Anolis sagrei: one gene and its partners. The protein of the gene in region 1 interacts with the protein of each later gene in a pairwise test. Links are inferred from orthologs where the notes say so. Each region holds a gene or a part of one and is shown in the gene's direction. Other genes may lie near its edges. The genes, in order: FHL3, MRM3, HIPK1 and PIERCE1.

Region 1 (8,260 bases):
GTCTGCTGGAACAGCACTTTGGTTTTCTCGATGTTCAGTGACAGGCCAAGCTTCGTGTATTCTTCTGCGAAGGTGTTTAGAGTGGCTTTTAGATCTTCTTCTGAATGCGCAGAGACAACATTGTCATCAGCATACTGGAGTTCTATAACAGATGTTGTTGTAACCTCGGTTTTGGCTTTCAGTCTGCTGAGGTTAAACAGCTTGCCATCTGTCCGATAGATGATTTCCACTCCGGTGGGAAGCTTCCCATCAACAAGGTGAAGTATCATAGCAATGGAGATGGAGAATAAAGTTGGGGCAATAACACATCCCTGGAATACCCGGAGAGGTATTCCACAGTGGGTAGGCATATTCAGCAGCAGAGTAGCAAAGTGCAAGGGCAGATATCTTCACTGTCTGGTTGTGATCGCCAGGTTTTGCCTGTCAGCTTTCATATATAATTTTTAGCACCCACTTTTTGCTTGGTACGAGGGTTGAATGAAAAGTAATACCTTCACCTTCGTTACTTGGGTTTGGATGAGAATATTTTAATAAACACAGAAATAATCCTTAGAATGTGCTCTTTAACTCCCACTATTCAGTTTCCACATAATCACCAAACAATTGGATACATTTCTGCCAACGATGAACAAGTTTTCTGAAGCCATCACAGAAGAAGTCGACACTCTGTTTTCGGAACCAGTGTCTCACAGTTCTGTCATCCTGGGTACCCATCGTGCACAGATCTTCCGATAGCCAAGCAAAGCAATAATGTGACCCACACATTCTTGTGAAATGTCGATTATGCTTGAAATTTCTCTCTGAGTGAATCGTCCTGAATCAATCTGTCAACCTTTTGCTTGGGAAACTCGGTGGTTGCTGTCACAGGACGTCCAGCTCTTTGTCACGCAAGTCAGATGTTCCTCTCAACATCTTTAAACTTACTCGCCCAATGACACACAGTACTCACATCAACACAATCACCATGAACAGCTTGCATTCTCTGATGAATCTCCTTTGGGGTGACATCTTCTGCTGTCAAGAATTCAATGACTGCACGTTGCTTAAGTTGCATTGACCAATCATCTGTGCAGGGTTCCATACTTTGCACTTTAACAACACAAACGTTCAATGCTAAGGCTTCCCGCCAAAATGGAACTGTGGAGGAGAGTCTACTGAACAAGCCAGGACCTGCCACATACCAGTACTGCCATCTGTTGAGGAATTATGAAGATGGAGGCATCTAACCCTCATATTTAAGCAGTGCTTCTTGTAGGTCGGGAAACGATCCGGGGTAACTCCCAGGTATTTTGGTGTGCTGCAATGCTCCAGTGGGATTCCTTCCCAGATCATCCTCAGAATTCAAGATGCTTGTCTGTTCTTAAGGTGAAAAGCACATGTCTGTGTTTTAGATGGATTAGGAATCAGCCATTTCCCCCTGTAATAGGCAGTAAGAGCACCTAAAGCTTCAGAGAGCTTCTGTTCAAGCATTTCCAAGCTCCCTGCTTGGGTGGTGATGGCATGATTGTCAGCATAGATGAAACTCTCTGTCCCTTCTGGCAATGACTGATCATTTGTGTCAATGTTAAACATTGATGGAGTGAGCACGCTTCCCTGAGGCAGGCCGTTCTTCTGTTTTCGCCATCTGCTTCTCTGGCCCTGGAATTCAAGAAAAAAGTTCATGTTTTGTAGCAGATTTCCTATGAAGCGGGTGAGGTGGTAGTCCTTTGTGATAGTGTAAGTTTTTCTCAGGAGAAGACGATGATTTACAGTGTCACAAGCTGCTGACAATGTAGATGAAACTAACTGTCCATTCTGGCAATGGCTGATCATTTGTGTCAATGTTAAACATTGATGGAGTAAGCACACTCCCATTTCAAAGCTCCCTGCTTGGGCAGTGATGGCACGATCATCAGCATAGATGAAACTCGCTGTCCCTTCTGGAAGAGGCTGGACATTTGTGTAATTTTTTTTGTCGTGTCAGGAGTGATTTGAGAAACTGCAAGTCACTTCTAGTGTGAGAGAATTGGCCGTCTGTAAGGACGTTGCCCAGGGGACGCCCGGATATTGTGATGTTTTTACCATACTTGTGGGAGGCTTTTCTTATGTCTCTGCATGAGGAGCTGGAGCTGATAGAGGGAGCTCATCCACGCTCTCCCTGGATTCAAACCTGCGATCTGTTGGTCTTCAGTCCTGCTGGCACAGGGGTTTAATCCACTGCACCACCGGGGGCTCCTCATTTGTGTAAATGTTAAACATTGATGGAGGAAGCACACTCCCATTACAAAGCTCCCTGCTTGGGCGGTGATGGCACAATCATCAGCATAGATGAAACTCCCTGTCCCTTCTGTCAGAGGCTGGACATTTGTGTCAATGTTAAACATTGATGGAGCAAGCACACTCCCATTTCAAAGCGCACTGCATGGGCGGTGATGGCACGATCATCATCATAGATGAAATTCTCTGTCCCTTCTGGCAGTGGCTGGTCATTTGTGTAGATGTTGAACATGGATGGAGCGAGCACGCTCCCCTGAGGCAGGCCGTTCTTCTGTTTCCGCCATCTGCTTCTCTGGCCCTGGAACTCAACAAAAAAGCTCCTGTTTTGTAGCAGGTTTCCTATGAGGCGGGTGAGGTGGTAGTCCTTTGTGATATTATACATTTTTCTCAGGAGGAGGCGGTGGTTCACAGTATCATAAGCCGCTGACAGGTCTATGAAGACAGCTCCTGTGGTCTGCTGCTTTTCCAAGCCATCTTCTATGTGCCGAGTCAGGTTCAGCACTTGCGATGTGCAGCTTTTGCCTTTCCTGAAGCCAGCTTGCTGTGGGATCAGACAGGGGTCTATTTTTTCCATAATTCTATGCAGAATAAGTCTCTCCAGAACTTTGTAGAGGTGGCACAGCAGGGAGTTTGGTCTGTAGCTTTTTGGATCATTACGGTCTTTGCCTGGCTTCAGGATGGCAATGACTCTTGCTTTCCTCCAGATTTTGGGGATCTGACAGGATGCAGTGCAGTTGTTCATCAGCTCCAGTAACCAGCACTTTGCTTTTGGGCCAAAGTTCTTGATTTGTTCCATTTGTAGATCATCCAAGCCAGCTGCTTTGCCATTCTTACATTTATTGAGAGCCATGTCCAATTCAGTAGATGTAAAGGGTTCGTGAAGGTTGTTGTTCTCAATCTCTTGTTGTCTGGCTATTGGTTTCTTTCCTACTTTGGTGGCAAGGTTGGGTTTCCCGTTCTTCAAGAGTTGGTGTGCTATCTGATCTGCCTTTATGTTGGCATGGGTATTAGTTTGTGAGGGGTCGTTGCTCAGCCATCTTAGCAACCTCCACGCCTTCTGGCTGCTCCTGCCCATGTCGACCTCTGTGATCAGATTGATCCAATGTTCTTTCTTGGCTTCAGAGATGGAGGACACAATGTTCTGCACTGCCTGAAGAGTCTGCTCACTAAATGGGCCTTCGAAGTGGAGTCTGTAATAGTTTTCCAACAAGGCAGCTGTTTCAGGAGTAATGCCTGAAGGTAGTTGGTTCTGCAGCCTCTCGGTATCGAGGCCCGTGAGCAGGTTTTCCCGATTTCAATAAAATGCTCGTATTCCTCAGGGATTGGCGCGGCCGATGTGATCATGTCATCTAACATGTCTGAGAATTTAGTCCAATCTGCCTTTCTGAAGTTGTATCTTTGTTTAAATCGAACTTCCTGAGGCCTTATTGTTGGGAACAGTTGGCATATTATTGGTCGGTGCTGTGTGTTTGGAATTGGTGGTCCCACTGATTTAGTGCAGTGCTGTACAATGCTGTCGCTCACAAATAAGAGGTCTGGGCAGGGGCGGCTCGTCCATTACGCGAAGTAAGCGGTCGCAGAACACTCTTTTTTTGCCAGGGGTGCAGAGGTGCCTCTGTAAATGCCCCTCGACCGCCACTTGAGGAGCGCCCCCTCAGCTCACAACAGCCCTAGCAGTCCAGGGGGAGCCTCGTCTTTCTTGCCTCGCTGTCGGGCGATCCTCTTCCCAAAGGGGCCGTGCCCTTGAGCCTTGCCTAGCCCCTCTCGTTCCTGCTCCACCCGGCCACCGGGTGCGCAAGCAGAGCCAGCACTCAGTCATTCTCCGCGTTTGATCCCTTCCCCATGACCAGCTCCCTTTCCTGATCCCCCGGCGCTCCACCCGCCTCCTCTCCCCAATCCATGGGTGGGCCAAGGGGCGGAGCCACTGCACCTGGCCCGCTTCGGGTCCGGAGGGGTGTCTGAAGACCCCAGCGTGCGCACCAAAAGTCGCCTCTTCTCCTGACTTTCTCTTCAGCCATTGGGACCAAGAGAGAGAGAGAGAGCCCCTCTGGCTGGAAGTATCTCCCACCTCCGCTCCCTCCTTTGTTTTTGCGCCTACCTTCAGGAAAGGTGGGCATCTCCACCTCTCTCTCTCTCTCTCTCTCTCGGTCCCAATGGCTGAGAAGAAAGTCAGGAGAAGAGGTGACTTTTGGTGCACACGCCGGGGTCTTCAGGCACGCCTCCGGACCCAAAGCAGGCCAGGCAAGGGAGCGAGTGTGGCAAGTGTAGTTACTGGGATGTATAGTTCACTTACAATCAAAGAGCATTCTGAACTCCACCAATGATGGAATTGAACCAAATATGGCACACAGAACTCCCACGACAAACAGAAAATATATATCAATGATTGGTTGGGGGTGGGGGGGGGCGCCAAAATACTGTTTGCTTACCGTTGAAAATTACCTAGGGCTGCCTCTGGGTCTGGGTTATAGCCTCGGTGCCATCTCCCGCTATTGTAGGATGGGGGGAGCTTGCTATCATGGATGAGTGATAGTTTGTGCAGTTCAGACCAGGAGAGGACAGCCTCTCCATTTCTGTCCTCTTGGGCATAGCCCCATACGTGGCTATGGCTGTTGAAGTCACCAATTACTACCGCCCTTTGGTGCCTATCGAAATTCTCGGGGGAGGAGAAGCAGAACTCTTCATTTGGGGGCTTGTACACAGAGGGGATGGTGAGGGAAGGAGAGGGGCGGGGACTTCAAGGGGGCGGGGCCGCAGAGGAGTGGGCGGGGCTCAGTTGGGGGTTCCGCCCCTCCCACCTCCTCCCTTCCAGCCGGGCGGGGAAGAGCTCCACCTTGGAGGGACGGAGGGAGAGGCGCGGGCAGGACGGGCCCGGTCCTCCGGCGCTGGACGGGAGGAGGAAGGCAGCGAAAGAAGGAAGGGAAGAAGGAGCCCCGAAGGAGGAGCAGGTGAGGCCAAGCGAGGGAAAGAAGAGGGGTCCAGGAAGGGGGGAGCCTTGAGGAAGGGAGGCTCTTTGTCCTGGGTGGGTGGGGGTCTCAGTCCAGCGCCCCACAAAGGACATTCATTGAGAAACAGGCGGAGGGAGAGCGGGCCAGCTCCCTCCCTCCTTTTCCTTTTCCCTTCCTTCCTTCCTTCCTTCCTTCCTTCCTTCCTTTAAAAGAGGCATGTGGTGCTTCATTGGGGGTCGTAATGCCCTTGCCCCCCCCCCCCATCCCCTCAGGAAGTCGTCCAGGGAGAAAAATCAACATCACCCCTAATCATAATAATGAACTCTACTTCCCTTGTGAGGCTGAGGGGCTCCCAACAGGACTAGGGTGTCCCAAGGCCAGCCTTTCTCAATCTGAGGGTTGGGACCCCTGCGGGGAGGGTCGTGAGGGGGGTGTCAGATGGGTCGCCCAAGACCATCAAGAAACACAGTATTTGTATTTGTTGGCCCGGGGGTTCTGGGTCGAAAGTTTGGCCCAATTCTCTCATTGGTGAGGTTCAGAATGCACCTTGATTGTTGTTGAACTGTAAATCCCAGCAACTACAGCTCCCAAACGTCAAGGTCTATCTTCCCCAAACTCCGCCAGTGTTCACGTTTGGGCATATTGAGTTTTCGTGCCAACTTTGGTCCATATCCATGCTTTGATTGTAGGTGAACTATCAATCCCAGCAACTACAGCTCCCAAATGTCAAGGTCTATTTTCCCCAAACTCCGCCAGTGGTCACGTTTGGGCATATTGAGTTTTCGTGCCAACTTTGGTCCATATCCATGCTTTGATTGTAGGTGAACTATAAATCCCAGCAACTGCAACTCCCAAACGTCAAGGTCTATTTTCCGCAAACTCCGCCAGTGTTCACGTTTGGGCATATTGAGTTTTTGTGCCAACTTTGGTCCATATCCATGCTTTGATTGTAGGTGAACTATAAATCCCAGCAACTGCAACTCCCAAATGTCAAGGTCTATTTTCCCCAAACTCTACCAGTGTTCACATTTGGGCATATCGAACACTTGTGCCAAGTTTGGTCCAGATCCATCCTTGCTGGAGTCCACAGTGCTCTCTGGATGGAGGTGAACTACAACTCCAAAACTCAAGGTCAGTGCCCACCAAACCCTTCCAGTATTTTCTGTTGTTCATGGGAGTTCTGTGTAAGATTGGTTCAATTTCATCATTGGCGGAGTTCAGAATGCTCTTTGATTGTAGGTGAACTATACATATCAGCAACTGCAACTCCCAAAAGTCAAGGTCCATTTCCCCCAAACTCCACCAGTATTCACATTTGGGCATATCGAACACTTGTGCCAAGTTTGGTCCAGATCCATCCTTGCTGGAGTCCGCAGTGCTCTCTGGATGGAGGTGAACTACAACTCCAAAACTCAAGGTCGATGGCCACCAAACCCTTCCAGTATTTTCTCTAGGTCATGGAGGTTCTGTGTACCAAGATTGGTTCAATTCCATTCTTGGTGGAGTTCAGAATGCTCTCTGATTGTAGGTGAACTATAAATCCCAGCAACTACAACTCCCAAATGTCAAGGTCTATTTTCTCCAAACTCCACCAGTGTTCACATTTGGGTATATTGAGCATTTGTGCCAAGTTGGGTCCAGATGCATCCTTGCTTGAGTCCATAGTGCTCTCTGGACGTAGGTGAACTACAACTCCAAAACTCAAGGTCGATGCCCATCAAACCCTTCCAGTATTTTCTGTTGTTCATGGGAGTTATGTGGGCCAAGATTGGTTCAATTCCATCGTTCGTGGACTTCAGAATACTATTTGATGGTAGGTGAACTATAAATCTCAGCAACTATAACTCCAAAATGACAAAATCAATCCCCCTGCAACCAGGCATGTAGCCAGGGGGGGGGCTTGGGGGGCTTCAGCCCCCCCCGAAATTTTCATGGTGGTTCGCGAAAAGGCCTTAATGGTGCATTATTTAAACTGTTATGTTTATTCATATCATGATCTGATCACCATAATCAATATATCCCATATGCATGGGGGTATTGGGGTAACGATACAAAAGGTTTGCTAGGCTAGCCCCTCTTTCACTCAGACTCAGCCCCCCCCCCCCCCGAAACTCAGCCCCCCCCGAAACCCCCCCTGAAAAAAAAATTCAGCCCCCCCCGAAACGAAATCCTGGCTACGGGCCTGCCTGCAACCCCACCAGTATTCAAATTTGGATATATCAGATATTTGTGCCAAATTTGGTCCAGTGAATGAAAATACATCCTTAATATCAGATATTTACATGACGATTCATAACAGTAGCAAAATTACAGTTATGAAGTCGCAACACAAATAATTTTATGGTTGGGCGGTCACCACAACATCAGGAACTATATTAAGGGGTCATGGCATTAGGAAAATTGAGAACCACTGCCCTAGGCTATCTGTCCTCCCCGAATGGGATGCAGCCCAGGCACAAAGCAGTGCTAAACCCAGGGCGGGGTGGGTGCCGGGGAATGACTCTGGCTTGCAATGAAACAGGAGACTAGGGGGTGAAAGGGGGGGGGGGCTCCTGTCCCACTTCCCCACATCCCTCCCCACAATGGCTGGGCCTTTAGTCCAGAGGGGCTCTTACAAGGAGGGCCTCTCCCCCCTCCACCACCCAAGTTTCCAGATGTCTAGAAGGGAGGAGGCAGCTGACTGAAGCAGACCCTTCCTTTCTCCCTTCCTTTTTTTTCTTCCTTCCCCTTTTCCTTCCTTCCTTTGTCTGCCTTCGCCTCCGTCTGTCCCGGTGACTCAGTGGAGAGGCAGCTCAGGCCAAAGGTGAGCAATACCATCCTCCTCCTGAGTCAGCAAGGATTTTGGGGGGGGGGGGCACCCTTACTTTCTCTTAAAGGCAGTGCTTCTCAACCTTCCTAATGCTGCAACCCCTTAATACAGTTCTTTATGTTGTGGTGACCCCCAACCATAACATTATTTTCGTTGCTACTCCATAACTGTAATTTTGCTACTGTTATGAATTGTAATGTAAATATCTGATATGCAGGATGTATTTTCATTCATCCAAATTTGGCAC
Region 2 (8,145 bases), on another chromosome or scaffold:
GTGTGGCTTCTTACTGCCTGGGGGAATCCTTTCTTGAGAGGTGATTAGTTGCCCCTGGTTGTTTCTTGTCTGGAGTTCCCCTGTTCTTTATTTACTGAAAGTTGTGCTTTATTTACCTCGTTTGGGCCTCATGCAAATCGAAGTAGGTGTGAATGCTCTTCCAAGCCGAAGCGCTGGAGTTGTCCGTAGACACCTCCAAGGTCATGTGGCCACTGGCACGACTGCATGGAACGCCCTTACCTCCCATCCAGATTGGTAGATATTGATCTACTCACATTTGCATGTTTTCGAACTGCTAGGTTGGCAAGACCTGGGGCTAACAGCGGGATTTGAACCACCAACTTTTCGGCCAGTGAGTTCAGCAGCTCAGCGGTTTAACCCACTGCGTCGTGATATAATTAGTATTATATCACATTATAACATTAGGATTATTATATTAATAATAAATTATTGTATTGTAATTTATTGCTATTATACATTTAGAAGGATAATAGTTCTAATTATAATATTGTAATTTCCTCTTATCTATACATATTGTAGCAATAATAGACTAATATAATAAGATACTAGTAATCTATCTATGTATACACATAATAATAAAAGTGAAAACATATTTATGTGTGTATGTAACTCCACAGACACCTTTCTTGGGAGCTTCCTTCTCTTCCAGGAAGAACTTGTATCCTCCCGGAGCTTCCGTTTCGTAAACACCGGACGAAATCTCCTTGATTGGCCATTGAAGCCTTTTTGCGTTATTTACCGCTTGGTTGGAGGCAATCGTCATTCCCTGCCGGGAAAAATAATGCATTATTATTAAACTAATTTATTATTGGTTAAAAATATTTTTAAATAACGTCACTTATTATATTTAACATAAATATAATGTATCATATTATATTTTTAAATTAGTTTAAAATAAATGAAATCAAACTTGTTTACAAAATAAATCAAGAAAAAAAACCTAACTTAAAACAAATAAATTTAAATTAATTCATTATTATTTTAAAAAATTAATTTAAAATAAATCTGGAAAAAAAAGAAAACCTAACTTAAAACAAATAAATTTAAATTAATTCATTCCTATTTTATAAAAACTAATTTAACATAAATTAAATTTAACTTGTTTACAAAATAAATAAAAAAACTTAACTTAAAACAAATAAATTTATATTAATTCATTATTATTTCATAAAAACTAATTTAAAATAAATTAAATTTAACTTATTTACAAAATAAATTTGGAGGAAAAAACAGAACTTAAAGCAAATTTAAATTGATTCATTGCTATTTTTAAAAACTAATTTAAAATAAATTAAATTTAACTTACAAAATAAATTTGGAGGGAAAAAACAACTTAAAACAAATAAATGTAAATTAATTTATTATTATTTTATAAAAACTAATTTAAAATAAATTAAATTTAACTTGTTTACAAAATAAATAAAAAATCAAACTTAAAACAAATAATTAATTTGTTATTATTTTATATAAACTAATTCAAAATAAATTAAATTTAACTATTTTACAGAATAAATTTGGAGAAAAAGAACACCTAACTTAAAACAAATAAATTTAAATTAATTCGTTATTACTTTATAAAAACTAATTTAAAACAGTAACTTATTAACCTGAAACTAATTTAAAAGAAATAAATTTAGAATAATGTACTTAAAATACTGTTTTGAAATAAATACATTTTAAATTAACTTAGTATTTTTTAAACAAAAATATTTTAAAAACTGGTTTAATACAGCTTATTATTTAAAAGAATTCATTTAATTAATTCAGGGGTCACTTATTATTTCAAATAAATACATTCAGAATCACTTATTTAAAAAACCAACTTGAAATAAAAAAATTAAATAAATTTATAATTGTTTAAAATTCTAATTTAAAATAAAATAAAAATATAAAAATAATCAAAAATGAATAAATTTAAAGCGACTTATTGTTTAAAATCCGCACCAGGAAGTCGTTGCCAAGGCGATATCCTCCGACGCCGTAATTGTAGGTCAGTTCGGCCACAAAATGACCGTCCTCGGGGCCGAATCCCACCATCGTTTTGCTCCATTTCCCATCATAGGGACTAGAAACACAGAGAATCCATGGGAGTTAATGGGGGCTCATCTATCTAGGCACATACAAAAATAGTGAAAATATGCCTGTGTGTATGTGGCTGGGGTGTCCAATAATATTTATAGTCATAGAGTTTATAGTTTTCAATGTTTAGAACCTTAAATGCTAATTTAAAACATAAACCGTTCACATTTATACAGCTTAATAATTATTTTGAAAGGCCAAGTGGTATTTATTATTATTATTATATTCCTACCCATTGCAAGTGGCTTTGCAGCCTTCCTCAAATTCCTCATGCCGTAGAACCTGTTGGGAAATTATAGAATTCTCAGACATTAATAATAATTTATTACTAATAATGGTTACTATTAATGGTATAATTGAACATTAATATATTAAGGCTAATAATTAGTATAATTGAACATTAATATACTTGTTAGAAACCCAAAATTGGGTCTTTTTAGGTCCACGTCGCGGGAGCACGAAAGGAAGGAGACAGTCCCAATGAAAGATAAAAAAAACAAGGTTTTATTTCAGTTTCTTCATGAAGAAGACGGACAGCCGGGCAGCATGCGCAAATGTTACCTTTCAAATGACTGCCATGCTCTTCCCTTGAAATCTGCAAACTTTATAGCCCAGTACAAACAAAAAGCATAGGGAAAACACCTTTTGTGAATAATAATTCTGACCTTTTGATGGAAAGTACCTTCTTGTACATGCGGCCTCTGCGCTTCAAAAAAAACCTTTGAAGTTAACCACAAGCATCCTGTGTACCTTCTACATGTCACACCTTGTTCCTTAAAAACATTTTCTTCCATATTGCTCTTTTTAAGTCAGAGAAAGGGTGTGTCTCTCTTTTGCTGTTAATTTCATTCAAAGCCCCTTACTTAGTATTTGCAAATTTCACTCAAAGACCCTTTCATATTAAGGCTAATAATTACTAAAATTAAATATTGATATATTAATGGTAACAATTAGTATAACTAGAAATTAATATATTAATGGTAACAATTAGTATAACTAAACATTAATATATTAAGGCTAATAATTAGTATAATTCAACACTAATATATTAAGGCTAAGAATTAGTATAACCGAAGATTAATATAAAGGCTAATAATTAGTATAATTGAACATTAATATATTAAGGCTAATAATTACTATAATTAAACATTAATATATTAAGGCTAATAATTACTATAATTGAACATTAATGTATTAAGGAAGGCTAATAATTAGTATAATTGAACATTAATATATTGAGGCTAATAATTACTATAATTAAACATTAATATATTAAGGCTAATAATTACTATAATTGAACATTAATGTATTAAGGAAGGCTAATAATTACTATAATTGAACATTAATATATTAAGGCTAATAATTACTATAATTAAACATTAATATATTAAGGCTAATAATTACTATAATTGAACATTAATGTATTAAGGAAGGCTAATAATTACTATAATTGAACATTAATATATTAAGGCTAATAATTACTATAGTTAAACATTAATATATTAATGGTAATAATTACTATAATTGAACATTTATTAATGTTCAATTATAGTAATTATTACCATTAATATATTAACATATTAAGAAAGGCTAATAATTAGTATAATTGAACATTAATATAATAGTATAATTGAACGTTAATATATTAATACTAATAATATATATTAATGTACTAATAGTATTGTTAATGATAATATTAATAGTAATACATTATTAATACTTCTTAATTAGTATTTAATATTAATACATTAATGATAACAATTCGTATTAATCATTAACAAGTCAATATTAATTATTATTCATAATTAGTATTGATCACTAATAAGTTAATAAGTTGTTATTTCCATATGTGTCTCTGTAGATGGCCTCCTATTTTATAGCTAGCCTCCTATTATATTTAATTAACATTTACAACAACAACAACAAAGCCAATGCTCCCTAAACAGCAGCAATAGGGGACAGAACGCCTTTCCGATAAGTTTGACCCTCTGCGGCGCCGATCCTCGGTGACGTCACACTCCCTGCTTCCCCCCCCCCCTCTCTTACGCGCATGCCCAGTATCTCCCGATAGAACCGCGCCGTCTGCGCTCGGTCGCCGACTTTGAACACGAAGTGTAAGGCTCTCCGGGCTTCCATGTTGTCGTTTACTTCCCTCCGATCTCGGACTTCAACTCCCAGCAGGCCTGGCGCTCTTTCCCGAAGAGGAGGGATTGTGGGCGCTGACGTTTGAGAGACGCGCCCCGACCGGAAGTGTAGGCCGCACTTCTGGCGACTTGTTGTATAGCGGGCGCCATTTTGTTACGTTGTCAGGAACAACTGGGGGAGAAGCAACTCTCGCGATGACTTGAATGCCAAGCGGCTTTCTCCTAGCGAGCGCGGGAAGTACCGCGAGACTTGCCTTTTGGCTGACGCGCCCTGACCGGAAGTGTAGGCCGCACTTGTTGTTGTATAGCGGGCGCTATTTTCTTACGTTGTCAGTAGCAACGGTGGGAGGGGGGAGAGGCAACTCTCGCGATGACTTGAAAGCCGAGCGGCTTTCTCTAAGCGAGCGCGGCAAGTCCCGCGAGACTTCTCTTTTGGCGGACGCGTTCCCACCGGAAGTGAAGGCCGCACTTCCGGCGCCTTGTTGTATAGCGGGCGCCATTTTGTTACGTTGTCAATAGCAACAGAGGCAAATCTCGCGATGATTTGAATGCCAAGCGGCTTTCCCCAAGCGAGCGCAATAAGTCACGCGAGACTTTCCTTTTGTAGCTGCTGCCCGGAACCAAAATGGCAGCGCTGCTGAGGCGAAAGCAGGCCGCGCTCTTGGTCGTCGGGGTGAGAGGGGTGCGGGCGCTGCGGAGGAGCCCCGTCCGGGTGCTGCCCCCCGCCGCCCAGCAGAAGGAGGCTGCCCGTCCCAGCGCCGTCCCTCCTCTTCCTCCACCCGGTCCCAAAGAGAAGGCCAAAGCCCAGGCTGGCGGGGAGGAAGTGGGCCTCAGGGAGAGCGAGCCGCGCTACGAGAAGGCCGGCCCCGGAGACAAGAGGCTGAGGTGAGGCCCCAGGTCGCAGGGCAGCCTGGGAAATGTAGTCCTGCCTGGGAAGGGCGGCTCCTGCAGCTTCATTGGGACCAGAAGGGCCTGGCTTTAGGTATACTGCCATGTATATAGTATGTTTTTGAGTATATGTGTAAATAAATATTTATATATATACTGAAATAGATAAAAACAATATATAATAACAATAAACCTTTATTTCTACCCCGCTAACATCTCCCGAAGGGCTCGGTGCAGCTTACAAGAGGCTGAGCCCACAATACATAATAAGGGACGCCTCACAGAAATGGGACTCGGGGGTACTGCTTTGCAGTGGCTCCAGTCCTTCCTTGAAGGACGGTCCCAGAAGGTGTTACTGGGTGACACCTGTTCGGCCCCACAGCCATTGTCATGTGGAGTCCCTCAGGGATCAATTCTGTCCCCAATGTTGTTTAACATCTACATGAAGCCGTTGGGGGAGATCATTCGGAGTTTCGGACTGCGATGTTACCTCTATGCAGATGATGTCCAGATCTGTCACTCCTTTCCACCTGTCACCAAGGAGGCTGTCCAGACCTTGAATCGGTGTCTACCTGCTGTGTCGGACTGTATGAGGGCTAACAAATTGAAATTGAATCCAGACAAGACAGAGGTCCTACTGGTCAGTCGTAAGGCCGAACAGGGCATAGGGTTACAGCCTGTGTTAGACGGGGTTACACTCCCCCTGAAGACGCAGGTTCGCAGCTTGGGAGTGATCCTGGATTCATCGCTGAGCCTGGAACCCCAGGTCTCGGCGGTGGCCGGGAGAGCTTTTGCACAATTAAAACTTGTGCGCCAGCTGCGCCCGTACCTTGGGAAGTCTGATCTGGCCACAGTGGTCCACACTCTTGTTACATCCTGAATAGACTACTGCAACGCTCTCTACGTGGGGTTGCCCTTGAAGACTGTTCGGAAACTTCAACTAGTCCAGCGAGCGGCAGCCAGATTGCTCACTGGGGCGACCTACAGGCAGCACACCACCCCCCTGCTATGCCTGCTCCACTGGCTGCCGGTTCAGTTCAATTCAAGGTGCTGGTCTTGAGAGAGAGAGAGAGAGAGAGAGAGAGAGAGAGAGATGAAAGATCTATTTCTTTGTAATCTAAGTAACATATATATGGTATATAGAAATATGAAATATGTACACTATATGTAAAAAATGAAATATATAAGATATATATATATGTGTGTGTGATAATACAACAACCATTTTATTGATTAGCCAGTTGGCCTTATCAAAAACAGACAGTGCAGACACAACATACAACAAAAATGATAATACAATATAATAATTATATATATTATATTACATGTAATATTACTAATAATAATATTACTAACAATGATTCAGGACTGGAGTGCCATTACCTTCCCGCTGAAGCATTTGCATATTTTCGAACTTGGCAGAAATAGTCTAAAAGGAGGAAGAGAAATCGCCGAATCAAAGCTCTCTGGGGCTTTTTGAGAGGCCGTAACGGACTTTTTTCTTTGAGCAGCAAAGTAGTGACGCTGGCCAAGTCGAGGGCCTTCCGCGAGAAGCACGGGAAGATCCTTCTAGAAGGCCGGCGGCTCATTTCGGACGCCCTGGAGGCGGGGGCCGCCCCTCAGACGCTGTTCTTCATCTCAACGGAGCACCTCAAGGAGCTGCCGACTGCCAAGCTGAGAAGCGCTTCCCTCATCAAGGTGCACAGCAAAGACCTCAAGGCCTGGTCAGACGTTGTCACGTCTCAAGGAGCCATCGGTGAGCCAGGGGCAGCCACAGGCATTATTTATTATTTATTGATTTATTTATGACATTTCTATGCCACCCTTCTCACCCCAAAGGGGACTCAGAGCAGCTTACAATATATATATGATACAATATATTATGTTATTAGCATAGTACAATATCAGTATTAAATATTACTATATTATTCTATACCATTATATTGTAATACTAGCCGTCCCCTGCCACCCGTTGCTGTGGCCCACTCTGGTGATCTTGAAAATAATGAGAAAGTGTTGGTTTCTAATAGATGCTATGTCTTTCTGTTTGTGGATAATCAGTACTTCTTGTTGTTTCTTTGTCAGTGTTGATGTAGACATTATCTGGTTTGCCTGCACTGGAACATTCAACATATCATTGTCCTCCTTTAGGGGTCCCTTTCAAATCTACGATACTATCTGTGTGTGCGTGTGTGGATCATATCTATCTATCTATATCCATGGCTGGATGGCTCTTTGTCAGGAGGGCTTTGTTTACATTTTCTTGCCCTGGTGAAGGGAGTTGGACTGGATGGCCTTGAGTATTTTCTGTTGGTCACAGAGGTTTTGTGTGGGAAGTTTAGTCCAATTCTATCACTGGTGGGATTCAGAATGCTCTTTGATTGTAGGTGAACTATAAATCCCAGTAACTACAACTCCCAAATGTCACAGTCTATTTCCCCCAAACTCCACCAGTGTTCATATTTGGGCATATGGAATACTTGTGCCAAGTTTGGTCCAGATCCATCATTGTTTGAGTCCACAGTGATCTCTGGCTGTAAGTGAACTACAACTCCCAAACTCAAGGTCAATGCCCACTAAACCCTTCTAGTATTTCTGTTGGGTCATGGGAGTTCTGTGTGCCCAGTTTGGTTCAATTCCATCATTGGTGGAGTTCAGAATGCTCTTTGATTGTAGGTGAACTATAAATCCCAGCAACTACAACTCTCAAATGACAAAAATCAAAGTTTTTGAGTGATAGTCACTCCTTGGGATAGTAAATGTCTTGTGGCTAAATTCGGCAGCAATTCATCCAGTTGTTTTTGAGTTCTGTTAATCCCACAAACGAACATTACATTTTTATTTATATAGATTATTAATATTACATGTAATATAAATATATAATTATAATATCATATTATTATTATATTTCATTACATCACAATACTATAAATATTATATGTATATACAATATATTGTATTAAGTTCTGTTCAGCTGCCATCTCAACCGCATTGAGTCGCCTGTTAAGGGCTG
Region 3 (8,040 bases), on another chromosome or scaffold:
CTGAATCTGCTCAATTCAATTAAGTTAAACTGCATTATATGGGTGTACACTAACAGAGGCTAGATGACCATCTGTCAGGGGTGCTTTGAATGCAATATTCCTGCTTCTTGGCAGGCGGTTGGACTGGATGGCCCATTAGGTCTCTTCCAACTCTATGATTCTTTTTTAAAAAATATTCTTTATTGAAATTTTCATATTATACAGTCGTTAAAATAAAGTAAAGTTGAAAGGGGTGGAAAAGGAGAAAGGAAGGTAAAGAAAGGGGGAAAAGAGGTGGCAAACAGGGGCAATCGGAAGAGGGATGGCAAAAAGGGGGTGAAGGATATGGGAGAGAAAGGAGTGAATAAGTAGAGATAGCAGAATATAGATTTAAAAAATCCTATTTCTATCCCACTACATGATGAACTCTACATGGCATGAACATGCTACATGATGAACATGCTACATGATGAACTCTATGATTCTAAGATTTTCAACTGCATTATGACAGTGTCGGTCCAGCATAAGCCTATCTCGCAAAAGAGGGAAGTTCCATAGCCTGAGACCAGACATTAATAAAACTCATTCTAAGCTCCATCAAACATATTTCTTTGAGTGATGGATGCAGATTTGCAGTTACTTCTTTTTACAAATTTGTCTGATAGCCAACTCCAGATTTTTGGTGTTGCACAGCTGCTATGCACTTACACAAAATACTATATAGAACTTAAGGAAAGATAGAAGACTGGATTTCTACTGGTGGAACAGCATAACAGTACAGAAACAGGAGCAAGGGGGATCTTACATTTATGTGCATCAAAAAAACAAAACAAAAAAAAAAAACCTAACCCAGAGGGCCAGGAAGCAGAAAGAAGCCAGCATTTTAGACAGCTCAGTGTGTAGGGTGGAATAAAATGGAGTTCCAACATGCTGGTAATCCACTACCATGGATTTTGGGCTTAATTGTAACTTTAATTTAACATTTGGTTTATTTTCTGACACAGTAGGAAAAATTCATAAGTCTCACTTATATTTCTGGGCCAGGAGTAAGAATTATATGGCTTCCAGATGTTGGATTATAGCTCCCAGCATTCCTCACCATTGGCTCTACTGGCTTGGGCTGCTTGCAGTCCAGCAATATCTACAGATAGGATCGGGAGACAAACATTATGGTTCTCCTTCCTGGTCTGTGTCATATAATACAGGCACCGTATTGAAGCTAAGGTCTGTCTATTGACAGTGCCTCAATGAAAGACTGGAAAATCCATGATGGAAGAAAAGCAAGATGTGCAACAAGGGCGGGAAAACTATGGTCTTTCAGGTATTGTTGGACTCCAGTTAAAGCCAGTGATTTTGAAAACCGTAGTCTACAAAAAATCTGGAGGACCACAACTGCCTCTAGAAATGATCAATTGTACTAAACAAAACAGCAACTATTGCTGATTAATTGTTGCCACATTTCCTTTCTTTCTTTCTTGCTATTCCTGATTATTTAAGAATAACTGCTCTCCAGATCTGGGGAGGGAATATTTTGATTTGCTTACACTTAAGAGGGCAATCCCTTTCATATTTATCCAGAAATCTGTCACACGGGCTCAATGGAGTTTATTGACTATTGTAAGCCCCTTTGATGCTCATTCCCCCCACCCCCATAAAATGCGTGGAATCAAAGATGAAGAATGTCCTTTTCCTCTATGTCTGATTTTCTAGAGATAAAATGGTCCAGTTTCAAGTGCTGCAATCTTTATGGTTTGTGTAATTCTTTTTCAGAGCCTGAAAAAAAAATAATATAGTTATATTTTGAATTAGGCCAGGCTCCTGCTTCTCAAGGCATATTGTTTGCATTAGTACGGACTGATCTTGACAATTCCCGAATTTATATTCTAGCCAACAGAATTATACATAGTTAAGTCAAAGTCCTGGGCCTTTGACCTACAATATTATTCTGAAACGGTGGCCATAAAAGCTTAAGAAGAGAAGAATACTGTAACTCTACACTACAAGTGTGCTGTTTTATGATGCCTGGCAAGGAGATGCAAAACCATTCAAAAGCTTCTTCCTGGCAGTTTCTTGTTATTTAGGAGCCCTCACATACCAGCCAGAGGTGTGGTTCCTGTGCCTGACAATTTTTTTGCTTTTTTAATTTGCCAAATAAAGGTATTGGTGTTTTCTGGATTTTGTTGTATGTTCTTGTTAGAGAGGTTCGTCTCTCAGCCACTTGAAAAGAGATAGTGGTAGAGAGAGAGAAACGTTGCAGCTCTTTTAACATTATCTAGTTTGTATTTTAGCATGAGATTTTGTGGATATAAACTTACTTTGAAACCCTGGGATATATCTAAGCTTTACACAAAAGAAAAAAAATCAAAAGAATAGAAAGCAGAAGACACTACCAACCTACACCAAACTGGCCCAGTATCTGCTCCTCCTCTGCCTGTAGGCAAAGACCTTTTTTATTCAAACAAGATTGTAATGATTAATTATGTGTATAAACTGCTTTATCACCAGGTTTTATCTTGTTTGAATCTGTTGTAGGACCCCTCTGTTCCCATGTTCAGAGAAAGGTGGGGCAGAAATCAGTCAATAAATGTAAAATCAACCTGAAAACTAGTGGTGCGTCTACACTGTAAAGTTAATGCAGTTTGACATCACTTAGCTGCTGTGGCTCAATGTTATGGAAAGGTGGAATCCGCAGTTTGGTGAGAAACCAACGCACTTTGTATCTTTCTGAGGTACCCTCATTTTTTTGGCAGAGGAGATTCAAGATTTTGTAAAACTACAACTGTCAGGATTTCATAGCATTGAGCCATGGCAGTTAAAGTGGTGCCAAACTACATTATTTCTACAGTGTAGAATTTTAGGAGCGACATGAAAAACTGCAAGTCGCTTCTGATGTGAGAATATTGGCTGTCTGCAAGGACGCTGCCCAGGGGATGCCCAGATGTGTTACAATCCTGTGGGAGGCTTCTATCAAATCCCCACATGAGAAGCTGACAGATGGGAGCTCACTCCACTTCCTGGATTCAAAGTGTCGACCTTTTGATCAGCACTCCAGCTGGTACAAGGGTTTAACCTATTGCGCCACAGTGTAGATGCATCCTATAGAGTTTGAATTCCGACTCAGAAATGAAAAAACCCCTTGGGCAAGTCACACTGTCTCAACCCAAGTCATCCTCAGACTAAAATTGTATTATGTGCCTTATGGTCGCCTTAAATCAGAAGCCCAACAACAAAGCAACACAACTTTCAGTTACTGAAGACTTGCGCCATGTAATTACTAGAAATGTGAAGTTTCTCAGCCCTTTGAAGAGAATATGCCTGGAAAAAAGTATGCCAAAAGGTGATTCTGAAGTTAACGAAGGAAATGTTATTATTTGTTTTTGGCTGTCTATAAACCAGGCATGGGCAAACTTGGGCCCTCCAGGTGTTTTAGACTTCAACTCCCACCATTCCCAACAGCCTCAGGCCCCTTCCTTTCCGTCCTCAGCTGCTTCTGGGGCCCGAGGCAGTTTGGAATGGTGGGAGTTGAAATCCAAAACACCTGGACGACCCAAGTTTGCCCATACCTGCTTTAGCCCCACTGATTGGAAAGGTCCTTGCCAATGGCCAAACCTTTCCCACCAAGGTGCTAAAATATTTACATGACAATAAGATGCAGCGGGGCACGAATGCTCCCTCCTCAAAGGACAGACCGAAAGGGCCCGAGGGGTTTCAGGGCTGTTGTTTCAAAAAGGGACACAACCGTGGGTCTCAAGAAGACCCGGGCTATTTCGAAAACCGTTGGAAAAGAACCACCGAAGAGACCTCACAGGCGGTTTGGAGCGGGAAAGGATTCTAGAAGGCATCGCTTGGGCTCCTTCGACGGGTGAAAGGCAGCCATTCCTTTAGGCTTTGGCCGAAGGAAGTCCTATTTTCTGGACACATCCAGACAGAACCGAGTTTGGAGAAGTTTCGTCCGCTTGGGAGAAGCCCTTTGGATCAAGCCATGCTGAGGTGGAAAAGACGTGAGTAACGCGCCGGGAGAAACGGGGCAGGAAAGGGGAAAGGCCGCCTGAGCCTCTGCTTGCCTGCTTTTCAAGTCAAGGAGGATGAGGGTTAAGCCATGGAGGTTTTATTTATCTATCGTGTCAGGGGCAGACCAAACAGTTGCGTTGCATTTTTTAAACAAAACAAACAAACCACAAAGTTTGCAAGCTTGGTAGCTGATTAAATGTCCTTTGACTAGTAGCTGGCCACTTTGGAGTGCCCCTGATGTTACCCCAAGAAGGTCCTCCATTGTGCATGTAGCAGGGCTCAGGTTGCATTGCAGCAGGTGGTCTGTAGTTTGCTCTTCTCCACACTCGCATGCCGCGGATTCCACTTTGTAGCCCCATTTCTTAAGGTTGGCTCTGCATCTCGTGGTGCCAGCGCCTTCCAAGTTGCCCAGTCTTCTGTGTGCCCAGGAGGGAGTCTCTCATTTGGTATCAGCCATGGATTGAGGTTCTGCGTTTGAGCCTGCCACTTTTGGACTCTCGCTTGCTGAGAGTTTCTGTAGATCTTAGAATCTTTTCTAAGATCTACATTGGTAAATTAATAGTTTGGCTGCCATGACCCGTAGAAGCACTCCAGGCCTTTGCTGCTCGGGGCACGACTGAGGCTGGCCTACTACGCTCAATGGTCCTTGTTTACTCCCTAGTCCGGTGCCTGTGGCGTCGTTCGGTATCTCTGTGCGCCTGTCTTGATATGTAAAATATTCTTTGTGTGTGCCTTGATATGTAAAATATTCTTGAAAGAGAGCTTCACGACTGGGAAATACCTCCCTCCCTTGGCGGCTGAGGGCCCATCATGGCGCCGGGCTCGCCCCCCCCCCCCCGCGCGGCCCAACGGCTTTCCGGGAGGGGGGGAGGGGAAAGGAGAGGTCACGTGACGCGCGTCCAATCACAGGCCTCGGCGCTCGACTGCTTGGGCCTGGGCGTCTCGCGCGCTGGCCTCCGCCGGTCTCCTTTTCCTCCTCTTTCTCCTCCGCTCTGGGCTCGGCAGGCTGGGCCTGGCTGCGGCGAGGGGCGCGCGAGCAGCAGCAGCAGCTGGGCTGAACGGAGGGAGGAAGGCGAGGCGAAAGAAGGGAGGAAGGAAGGAGGGAAGGAGGGGAGGAAGGAAGGGGGGCCGCTGAGGAGGGCGCGGCGGCGGCGGAGGCGAAGGAGGCGGCAGCAGGAGGAGGAGGAGACGTCGGCCGCAGCGGCTCGGAAGGCGGCTCGCTGGCGGGCGGGCGAGGAGGGCCGAAGCCTGGCGGAACCGCCGGGGGGTTGCCTGCGGGCTGGCCGGCTCCACAAGGCCAAGGCGGCCCGGCAGTGGCGGCGGCTGCCCCTCCTCGCCCGGGCCGGCCTCGTCTCCGGCGGGTAGGATGCGCCCGCTCGTCCCCCGGCACCGGCAGGCAGCTCCCGGCCCGGCCCGCGGCTGAGGCGCCCCCAACGGCGGCGAGTAAGTGCGAATGAGCGAGGAGGCGGCGGCCTTCGGGCCTCCCAGGGACGGGCGGAAAGAGGGAGGGAGAGGTAGGCCCCAGCCTGGCGCCACCGGGGCCTTCCCACTCACTGAGAATTCACCCGAGTTGGAAGAGGCCCCAGGGGCCAGCCAGGCCAACCCCTCTATCACGTAGTCACGCCATCAAAGCACTCCCGACAGATGGACATCCAGCCTCTGCTTAAAAACCCCCACAAGTGTACAGACCAGGCAGGGGCAAGCTTGGGCCCCTCCCTCCAGGTGTTTTGGACATATTTATTTATTTAACATATTTCAATCCAGCCTTTCTCAAGCCCGAAGGTGACTTAAGGCGGCTTACAACCAGGCAGTAATTCGATGCCTTAACCCAGTGGTTCTCAACCTGTGGATCCCTAGGTGTTTTGACCTACAACTCCCAGAAATCCCAGCTAGTTTACCAGCTGTTAGGATTTCTGGGAGTTGAAGGTCAAAACATCTGGGGACCTACAGATTGAGAACCAGTGCCTTAACCAAATACACTTCAAAACATTTAAAACAAAATTAAAAAACCAGCTTTAAAATCATATAAAAACCAATGCCGTCAACTCCCACCATTCCTGACAGCATCAGGCCCCTTTCCTTTCCCCCTCAGCCGCTTCCATAAAATGTAGTAAAGACTATCACTGGCTACTAGCCATTTTATATTGGTTGCCATCTACCTGTTTGTGGACTTCACAAACTTAGATGACTATTGTGGAAACAGAATGATGGCCTAGATAGGCATTTGGTCTGCCCTACTTAGGTGCTTCTAATGTTTTTACTTCAGTTCTTTTGAAAGTGACTGGGACAAGGGTCACCTATTTAATTTGATTTAACTTGAATAATAAATAGCCATAGTCCTTAGCATTAGAAGGAAATGTGCCTTAGTCTTAAGCCATGAGAAATCACACACAGGAAAATACTCACATAAACAGAATGAAGAAAACATGCTCAAAATGGGACAATAAAGAGGCCATCATTGCAGTGGGTTAAACCCCTGTGCCGGCAGGATTGAAGACCAACAGGTCGCAGGTTCGAATCCGGGGAGAGGTGGATGAGCTCCCTCTATCAGCTCCAGCTCTTCATGCGGGGACATGAGAGAAGCCTCCCACAAAGATGATAAAAACATCAAATCATCCAGGCGTCCCCTGGGCAACGTCCTTGCAGACGGCCAATTCTCTCTCACCAGGAGTCACTCCTGACATGACAAAAAAAAAATCGCCTTCTTAAGAGATGCAAAGAACTCTGTATGGCGCAGGGAAATCATATAAGCAGGCAATAGCAGTAAAACCTTAGATATAGGAATTAGAAATGGCATGTTGATATATTTTTATTTTGATGAATTGAATTTGCTTTCCTAAACTGTTTTGATAAGCGTCTGATGAAATGGTGACATGTGCAGGATTAAACAAGATGAAAAGGAGAAGGGGTGTGAGAACAAAGATGTTGTAAAGTGAATTGTACCTGCAAAAACTAAGAATCATATGTGAAATTTCAGTCAGTATGCTGCCTCCCTTTCAGGACAGTTACCCGCAGCTTATTTGCAAATAAATCCCCTATGCCTCCCAGTTCCTTAATGAAAAACCAGGACTAGGGGGTTCCACAAGGTTTGTCTTCTTAAAAGAGGGCATCACATCAGAGCCTCTTCACTTTAATTACCGAAAACCAGAGAAGAAATGCTTTAAATACAACACTATAAAATGTGTCAGGCCTCATGTGATGTATGTGCCTTATTGCCAAATATGCAACACAGTTGAGTCATTAATGTTAATATCACTGACGTTTTTTACATACATGCTCAAGACAACATTAATTCTCAGTGGGCTGGGCACAGGCTTTTAAAATTCTCACTCATCATTCACTGGATCCACTTATGACAACATTTGGCTACTCCAGTTAAAAAAACTGGCTATTTCCAGCTTTTTCTAGAGTGAATTTGAGCATAACAGGTACTTATACCCACATCTACTTATGTTTCAATAGGTTTCTTCATTTATACATTACAAGAAAGTTCTGCTTTGGCTCTGGGCACAATCACCCCTTACAAGGTTACAGAGCTCGCAAGAAACAGCTTAAGTGTCTGAGAGGGAAAAGGAAAGGGCCTGAGGCTGTTAGGAATGATGGGAGTTGAAGTCCAGAACACCTGGAGGGAGGGCCCAAGTTTGCCTGTGCTTGGTCTACGTGTTCTCTTATCGTCAACAAGTCCTTCCTCTTTTTCCTACAATTGGAATCCATTGCCAGCAGAAAACAAGCTTTTCTCAATTTTCCAGTATGACGCCCTTTCAAATATTTAAACATTTAAACATTTATTATTTATTTACTATATTTATATACCGCCCCTCTCGGCCCAGAGGCAACTCGGAGCGGTGGCTATCGTGTGCCCTCTCTTTCTCCAATCAAAACATAACCCAGCTCTTTCAGCTGCATTGGGGGGGGGGGGGGGGGGCTTGGCTTCCAACACCTTTGATCGTTTCTGTCACCCTTTTCTGGACATGTTCCAGCATGTCAGTGCTTTTATTGAATTGGCCAGAAACCTCGTAATGGGAGGCTGGGGGATAGGGGAGCTTTGGT
Region 4 (8,310 bases), on another chromosome or scaffold:
TCCATCCATCCCTTCCGAGTCTAAGATTCTATCCATCCACCCATCCCTTCCAACTAGGGTTCTATCCCTCCATCCATCCATCCAGCTATCCCTTCCAACTAGGGTTCCATCCAACCATCCGTCCAGCTATCCCTTCCAACTAGGATTCCATCCATCATCCATTCATTCATCCATCCATCTATTCCTTCCAACTAGGGATCCATCCATCCATCCATCCATCCATCCATCCAGCTATCCCTTCCAACTAGGGTTCCATCCATCCATCCAGCTATCCCTTCCAACTAGGGTTCCATCCATCCATCCATCCATCCATCCATCCATCCATCCAGCTATCCCTTCCAACTAGGGTTCCATCCATCCATCCATCCATCCATCCATCCATCCAGCTATCCCTTACAACTAGGGTTCCATCCATCATCCATCCATTCATCCATCCAGCTATCCCTTCCAACTAGGGTTCCATCCATCATCCATTCATTCATCCATCCAGCTATCCCTTCCAACTAGGGTTCCATCCATCATCCATTCATTCATCCATCCATCTATTCCTTCCAACTAGGGATCCATCCATCCAGCTATCCCTTCCAACTAGGGTTCCATCCATCCGTCCAGCTATCCCTTCCAACTAGGGTTCCATCCATCCATCCATCCAGCTATCCCTTCCAACTAGGGTTCCATCCATCCATCCATTCATCCATCCATCCATCCATCCATCCATCCATCCATCCATCCAGCTATCCCTTCCAACTAGGGTTCCATCCATCCATCCATCCATCCATCCATCCATCCATCCAGCTATCCCTTCCAACTAGGGTTCCATCCATCATCCATTCATTCATCCATCCAGCTATCCCTTCCAACTAGGGTTCCATCCGTCTCATCAATTCATCCATCCGTCCATACAGCTATTCCTTCCAACTAGGGATCCATCCATCCATCCATCCAGCCAGCCAGCTATCCCTTCCAACTAGGGTTCCATCCATCCATCCAGCTATTCCTTCCAACTAGGGTTCCATCCATCTATCCATCCATCCATCCATCCATCCATCCCTTCCAACTATAGGAGTCCATCCATCCATCCATCCATCCATCCCTTCCAACCAGGGATCTATCTAAAGCCAACGATCAGATCTCCGATCTGACTCCTTGCAAACGTATCATGACTCCAAAGTTGTACTCCTTTCTCTTCCCTTGAGAAAAGGAGCAAGTGACCGGACTGTATTCCATTGCAGAGCTGTCCCAAAGGCACACCATCTCTCTTCTTCCTATGGAGTAGAGAGGCGGCTGGGCAAGACTCCTCTGGTCTGCCACAATTTTGGAATATTAGAAGGTCTCTTACATAGCAATATATCTTGCTAAAGTTGTTCCAAAGTTGTAAATGAATGATAGATGTTTTTCCAGCCTGAAATATCCTGGCTCCCCAAGTCCTGGCAGATGTTGACTCTCCTTATGTTGGTAAACATAAGGAGCCTTGTGTTGACTTCCTTCTTAACGTAAGGAACCTCATAAATATTTCCTTAACTCACAGAGCCATTGATTATGATAATGTAAAAACTCTGGTCCCCCCCCCCCCCCGCCCCCAAAGTTGTAAATGAATGGTAGATGTTTTTCCAGCCTGAAACATCCTAGCTTCCCAGTTCCGGGCAGATGTTGACTCTCCTTAATTGGTGTTGGTAAACGTAAGGAGCCTTGTGTTGACTTCCTTCTTAATGCAAGGAACCTTGTAAACATTTCTTTAACTTACAGAGCAATTGTCTATGATAATGTAAACACGTTTTTCTGCCAAGGTTCAACAATTAATCATTGTCACAGTTCTCATCAGCAACTTTTAATTATAGTCCATGAATTTTCACCTCTTTCTTGTAGTTTTTGGGCTTCATTCCTTAGGATGGCATCTCCCAAAAATGCTGTATATATATATTAGGCATGGGCAAACTTTTTAACACAAAGCACCCCCTATAGATAGCCATCCAGCCTTTGCAATAATAATAATAATAATAATAATAATAATAATAATAATAATAATAATTTGCAGCTCAGTGCTATGGGATCCTGGGATGTTTAGTTTGGGGAGGCATCAGACCCCTTTGGCAGAGAAGACAACAGGTCTTGCAAAACTATAACTCCCAGGTTTCCCACAGCGTTGAGCCACGGCAGTTCAAGTGGTGTCAATCAATCTGCATTGTTCCCCAGTTTCTCAGAGCTAGAAATTCCTAGAGAGGTGTTCTCCTAGCAGTATGGGATGGGACCCACCTGTGGCGGCATCCCTTCTTGTGTCCCAGGTGGACCCGGGCGTCGAAAAGGTCCTTAAGGGAGAAGAGCTCTTGGACGTTGAAGTAGTCGGGGTGCTTCAAGGGCTCCGTCAGCAACATTTCACTCATATCTGAAAGCGGGAAAAGGAGAAGAACAAGTGCTGCGATTCCACCTTAACTTCACCCCATCCCTCCACATTAGTTGGGGACACCCACGAAACCCCACATAAGGAAACCGCTGCCTGGGAGAAGGTCACTCGAAGGGACAACCCGATGGTCAACAGGAAGACTTACCATTGGGAGGCACTTTCTGCGCAATCACGGTGGAAGCAGGAAGAGGAAAAGAGGAAGACATCCGCACCAAAGAGCTGAAGCGGCCAAGATTGGGGACAACTGGAACAAAAGGGGGAAATACAGCTATCTCATAAATGGCTTCTGCAACCACAGATCCCATAATCCACATCTTGAAATCATTCTAGCATCCATCCATCCCTTCTGATTAGGACTCTATCTATCTATCTATCTATCTATCTATCTATCTATCATCTATCTATCCCTTCCAACTCTAGGATTCTATCAATATCCATCCATCCATCCCTTCCAACTAGGAATCTATCTATCTATCTATCTATCTATCTATCTATCTATCTATCTATCTATCTATCTATCCCTTCCAACTCTATGATTCTATCACTCTATATCTATCTATCTGTCTGTCTGTCAGTCCATCCATCCATCCCTTCCAACTCTATCTGTCTGTCTATCCCTTCCAACTGTAGGATTCATTCTCCCTCTCTCTCTCTCTCCCTCCGTCCGTCCGCCCATCTATCCCTTCCAACTCTATCTGTCTGTCTCTTCCAACTAGGATTATATCATCTATCAATCTATCCCTTTCATCTCTAGGATTCTAACAATAATCTATCTGGGTTGTTGTAAGTTTTTTCGGGCTATATTGCCATGTTCTAGAGGCATTCTCTCCTGAACATGGCCATATAGCCCGAAAAAACCTACAACAACCCAGTGATTCCGGTCATGAAAGCCTTCGACACTTATCTACCTACCTACCTATCCATCCCTCCGTCCAATCCTTCCAACTCTAGGATTTTATCAATATCTATCCATCCACCCCTTCCAACTAGGAATCTATCTATCTATCTATCTATCTATCTATCTATCTATCTATCTATCTATATCTATCTATCTATCCCTTCCAACTCTAGGATTCTATCCATCTATATCTATCTATCTATCTATCTGTCTGTCAGTCCATCCATCCATCCCTTCCAACTCTATCTGTCTGTCTGTCTCTTCCAACTAGGATTCTATCATTTATCGATCTATCCCTTTCATCTCTAGGATTCTATCAATAATCTATCTATCTATCTATCTATCTATCTATGTCTTCCAACTTCTATCATCTATCTATCTGTCTGTCTGTCTGTCTGTCCGTCCGTCCGTCCATCCATCCCTCCCTCCCTCTGTCCACCCCTTCCAACTAGGACTCTATCTATCCATCTATCCCTTTCAACTCTATCTATCTATCTATCCATCCACTCACCCACCCACCCACCCACCTACCCATCCATCCATCCCTCTGTCCACCCCTTCCAACTAGGAATCTATCTATCTATCTATCTATCTATCTATCCCTTTCAACTCTATCTATCTATCTATCTATCTATCCATCCATCCACTCACCCACCCACCCACCTACCCATCCATCCATCCCTCTGTCCACCCCTTCCAACTAGGAATCTATCTATCTATCTATCTATCTATCTATCTATCTATCTATCTATCCCTTTCAACTCTATCTATCTATCTATCTATCTATCTATCTATCTATCTATCTATCCATCCATCCACTCACCCACCCACCCACCCACCTACCCATCCATCCATCCCTCTGTCCACCCCTTCCAACTAGGAATCTATCTATCTATCTATCTATCTATCTATCTATCTATCTATCTATTCCTTCCAACTCTAGGATTCTATCAATTATCTATCCACCTACCTATCCCTTCCAACTCTATCTATCTATCTACTCATCTATCTCTTCCAATTCTCTCTCTCTCTTCCAACTAGGAATCTATCTATCTATCTATCTATCACTTCCAACTCTAGGATTCTATCAATATCTATCTATCCATTCATCCATCTGTCTCTTCAAACTAGGAATCTCTCTATCCACCCACCTATCCCTTCCAACTCTCTCTCTCACTCTTTCTATCTCATATTTTCCAACTAGGATTCTATCTATCTTTCTTTCTTTCTTTCTTTCTTTCTACTCATCTATCCCTGCCAACTCTAGGATTCTATCTATCTATCTATCTATCTCTCTAAGACCTCTTGGTGGTACAGTGGTTTAAACCACTGAGCTGCTGAACTTGTTGATGGAGAGGTTGGTGGTTCGAATCTGTGGAGTGTGGTGAGCTCCCACTGTTAGCCCCAGCTTCTACTAAGCTAGCAGTTTGAAAACATGCAAATGTGAGTAGATCAATAGGTACTGCTTCTGCGGGAAGGTAACGGCGCTCCATGCAGTCGTGCCAGTGGCCACATGACCTTGGAGGTGTCTACGGACAATGCCGGTTCAACAGAAAGGAGAAAAACATGAAAATGAACAAAACCTGGCTACCAGTATTATAAAAAAAAAATCTAAAATAAGGAGGGTATTACTAATTACTAAAGAATTACGAAAGAATTACTAAAAAAACAAGGAAATTCCAGACAGGAAACAATCTGGTCCGGCTAACAGGCAGGAAGCAGCCAGACTTTGAAACTGCAAGGCAGACAAGAGTTCCCAGCTTCCCAAGCCAAGCCTTCCATTGCGAGAAGTAGGATATAATCAACATAAATATAAATAATTGGTGCTCACCTGTCCTCCAAAGCCCTGGAGCCGCCATGCCTGCTTTGCAGGAAGGAAGGAAGGAAGGAAGGAAGGAGAGAAAAGAGAGAAAAGAGGATGGAAGCAGCTTTGCTTTTTGCAGCTCCCTCTGCTGACTCCTCCAAGCACAACTCTGCTGCACCCATTCTCTTTCAAGAGGCCTGTGCCTTTAAGAGCATCTCTTGTTGTGGTCCCCGGTCTCCTAGCAACGGGATGCTTTGTTTCCACCCAACAGCCAATCAGAACCCTCCTGGCTTTGATCCCAGGCCAGTTCATCCTTTGGGACAGAGGTGAGAATCTCTCCGAAATGGCCCAAAAAGAGCCTCTTCCCCAATTGGAACCGCCGACAACGAAAGAGGAAGGCAAAGAGGAGAGGACCAGCGACTATTACCGCATCCATCCGAATTTACCAACCCGCTTCGACCGGCCGGGATGGTTTCGGGGTTACAGGTGAGCTGCGGAGGTTCGAAAGTGGCGTCACACGACATTAAGTATTTTTAGGAATATTTTGTGAATATTTCAGAGAATATTTTTGTGAATATATGTTATGAATATTTCTGCCAATATTTCCATGTTTTGTGACTATTGCTGCAAATATTTTTGTGAATATTTCTGCAAATATTATTCTGAACATTTCTGCAAATATTTTGTGAATATTTCTGCAAATATTTTGTGAATATTTCAGAGAATGTTTTTGTGAATATATTTTATATTTCTGCAAATATTTCAATGTTTTGTGAATATTTCTGTGAAGTTTTGTGAACATTTCTGCAAATATTTTGTGAATATTTCTGCAAATATTTCAATGTTTTGTGAATATTTCTGTGTTTTGTGAATATTTCTACAAATATTTTGTGAATATTTCTGCAAATATTATTCTGAACATTTCTGCAAATATTTTGTGAATATTTCTGCAAATATTTTGTGAATATTTCAGAGAATGTTTTTGTGAATATATTTTATGAATATTTCTGCAAATATTTCCATGTTTTGTGACCATTTCTGCAAATGTTTTTGTGAATATTTCTGCAAACATTATTCTGAACATTTCTGTAAATATTTTGTGAATATTTCCGCAAATATTTCAATGTTTTATGACTATTTCTGCAAATATTTTTTGTAAATATTTCTGCAAATATTATTCTGAACATTTCTGCAAATATTTTGTGACTATTTCTGCAAATATTTTGTGAATATTTCTGCAAATATTCTTGTGAATATTTCTGCAAATATTTTTTCTACAAATATTTTTGTGACTATTTCTGCAAATATTTTGTGAATATTTATGCAAATATTCCTGTGAATATTTATGCAAATATTCCTGTGAATATTTATGCAAATATTCTTGTGAATATTTTGTGAATATTTCAAAGAATGTTTTTGTGAATATATTTTATATTTCTGTAAATATTTCAATGTTTTGTGAATATTTCTGCAAATATTTTTTTGAATATTTCTGCAAATATTTTTGAATATTTCTGCAAATATTATTCCGAACATTTCTGCAAATATCTTGTGAATATTTTTGCAAATATTATTTCTACAAATATTTTTGTGAATATTTCTGCAAATATTATTCTGAACATTTCTGGAAATATTTTATGAATATTTCTGCAAATTGTTTTGTAAATATTTCTACAAATATTTTTTCTACAAATATTTCTGTGAATATTTCTGCAAATATTCTTGTGATTATTTCTGCAAATACTTTGTATTTGTGTAAATATTTTGTGAGTATTTCTGCAAATATTCTTGTGAATATTTCTGCAAATACTTTTGTGAATATTTATGCAAATATTCTTGTGAATATTTCTGTAAATATTTTTGTGAATATGCCTGCAAATATTTTTGTGAATATTTCTGCAAATACTTTGATGAATATGTTTATTTCTGAAAATATTTTTGTAATTATTTTATGAATATTTTAAATATAAATATTTTATTTATATTTTTGTGAATATTTCTACCAATATTTTTTTGGAATATATATATATATATACTCCAGCAAAGGATCACCGCCTTGTCGGGGCGCTGGAGCTTGAGCACCTCAATGATGTCATGAGCGAAACCGTGAAGGGCCACCCAAGACGGGACGGTTGTGGCAGAGAGGTCAGACCAAGCGTGATCCCTGGGGAAGGCAATGGCAAACCACTCCAGTATCCTTGCCAAGAAAACTAAATGGACCAGTACAACAAGAGATATGTCGGTATGCCATTGGAAGATGGGACTCCCAGGTCGGAAGATGGCCAAAATGCTACTGGGGAGGAGCAGAGGATAAGTTCAACTAGCCCCAGATGTGATGACGCAGCTAGCTCAAAGCCGAAAGGAAGGCTAGCGGCCGACGGTACTGGAGGCGAACGACGAATCCGATGCTCTAAAGATCAACACACCATAGGAACCTGGAATGTAAGATCTATGAGCCAGGGCAAATTGGATGTTGTTATTGGTGAGATGTCAAGACTAAAGATAGACATTCTGGGGGTCAGCGAACTGAAATGGACTGGAATGGGCCACTTCACATCAGATGACCACCAGATCTACTACTGTGGACAAGAGGAACATCGAAGAAATGGAGTAGCCTTCATAATTAATAAGAAATTCGCTAAAGCGGTGCTCGGATATAACCCAAAAAATGACAGAATGATCTCAATTCGAGTGCAAGGAAAGCCTTTCAACATCACAGTGATCCAAATATACGCCCCAACCACAGCTGCTGAAGAAGCAGAAGTAGATCAGTTCTATGAGGATCTGCAGGACCTACTGGATAATACACCAAAAAGAGACATTATTTTCATTACAGGAGACTGGAACGCCAAGGTGGGAAGTCAAATGACAACAGGGATCACAGGCAAGCATGGTCTGGGAGAACAAAATGAAGCGGGACGCAGGTTGATAGAATTTTGCCAGGAAAACTCACTGTGTATAACAAACACTCTCTTCCAACAACCTAAAAGACGGCTTTATACATGGACTTCACCAGATGGTCAACACCGAAATCAGATTGACTACATCCTTTGCAGCCAAAGGTGGCGGACATCTATCCAGTCGGTGAAAACAAGACCTGGGGCTGACTGTAGCTCAGATCACGAACTTCTTATTGCCCAATTTAGAATAAAACTAAAGAGATCAGGGAAAATACACAGACCAGTTAGATATGATCTCACTAACATT

What was found.
Region 2: the proteins of FHL3 (region 1) and MRM3 interact in binary tests that used the Homo sapiens proteins (3 or more experiments, as listed by UniProt). The two-hybrid records come from large-scale screens. The link is inferred for Anolis sagrei from reciprocal best matches to the Homo sapiens genes FHL3 and MRM3.
Region 3: the proteins of FHL3 (region 1) and HIPK1 interact in binary tests that used the Homo sapiens proteins (3 or more experiments, as listed by UniProt). The two-hybrid records come from large-scale screens. The link is inferred for Anolis sagrei from reciprocal best matches to the Homo sapiens genes FHL3 and HIPK1.
Region 4: the proteins of FHL3 (region 1) and PIERCE1 interact in binary tests that used the Homo sapiens proteins (3 or more experiments, as listed by UniProt). The two-hybrid records come from large-scale screens. The link is inferred for Anolis sagrei from reciprocal best matches to the Homo sapiens genes FHL3 and PIERCE1.

The regions. Positions count from the first base shown.
Region 1 is NC_090034.1:86,441,094-86,449,353, reverse strand, and holds the start of FHL3 (four and a half LIM domains protein 3), read left to right. Parts: upstream 1-5,047; 5' UTR 5,048-5,204; intron 5,205-7,947; exon of another isoform or gene 7,948-8,007; intron 8,008-8,260. UniProt on the Homo sapiens protein: Recruited by SOX15 to FOXK1 promoters where it acts as a transcriptional coactivator of FOXK1.
Region 2 is NC_090031.1:35,292,376-35,300,520, forward strand, and holds the start of MRM3 (rRNA methyltransferase 3, mitochondrial), read left to right. Parts: upstream 1-4,831; 5' UTR 4,832-4,869; coding exon 4,870-5,129; intron 5,130-6,643; coding exon 6,644-6,888; intron 6,889-8,145. Other genes in the region: GLOD4 (glyoxalase domain-containing protein 4), read right to left, coding at 643-787, 1,966-2,086, 2,333-2,382, 4,147-4,236. UniProt on the Homo sapiens protein: S-adenosyl-L-methionine-dependent 2'-O-ribose methyltransferase that catalyzes the formation of 2'-O-methylguanosine at position 1370 (Gm1370) in the 16S mitochondrial large subunit ribosomal RNA (mtLSU rRNA), a conserved modification in the peptidyl transferase domain of the mtLSU rRNA.
Region 3 is NC_090024.1:202,602,633-202,610,672, forward strand, and holds the start of HIPK1 (homeodomain-interacting protein kinase 1), read left to right. Parts: upstream 1-4,957; 5' UTR 4,958-5,433; intron 5,434-8,040.
Region 4 is NC_090031.1:4,584,819-4,593,128, forward strand, and holds the start of PIERCE1 (piercer of microtubule wall 1 protein), read left to right. Parts: upstream 1-5,306; 5' UTR 5,307-5,446; coding exon 5,447-5,589; intron 5,590-8,310. UniProt on the Homo sapiens protein: Microtubule inner protein involved in the attachment of outer dynein arms (ODAs) to dynein-decorated doublet microtubules (DMTs) in cilia axoneme, which is required for motile cilia beating.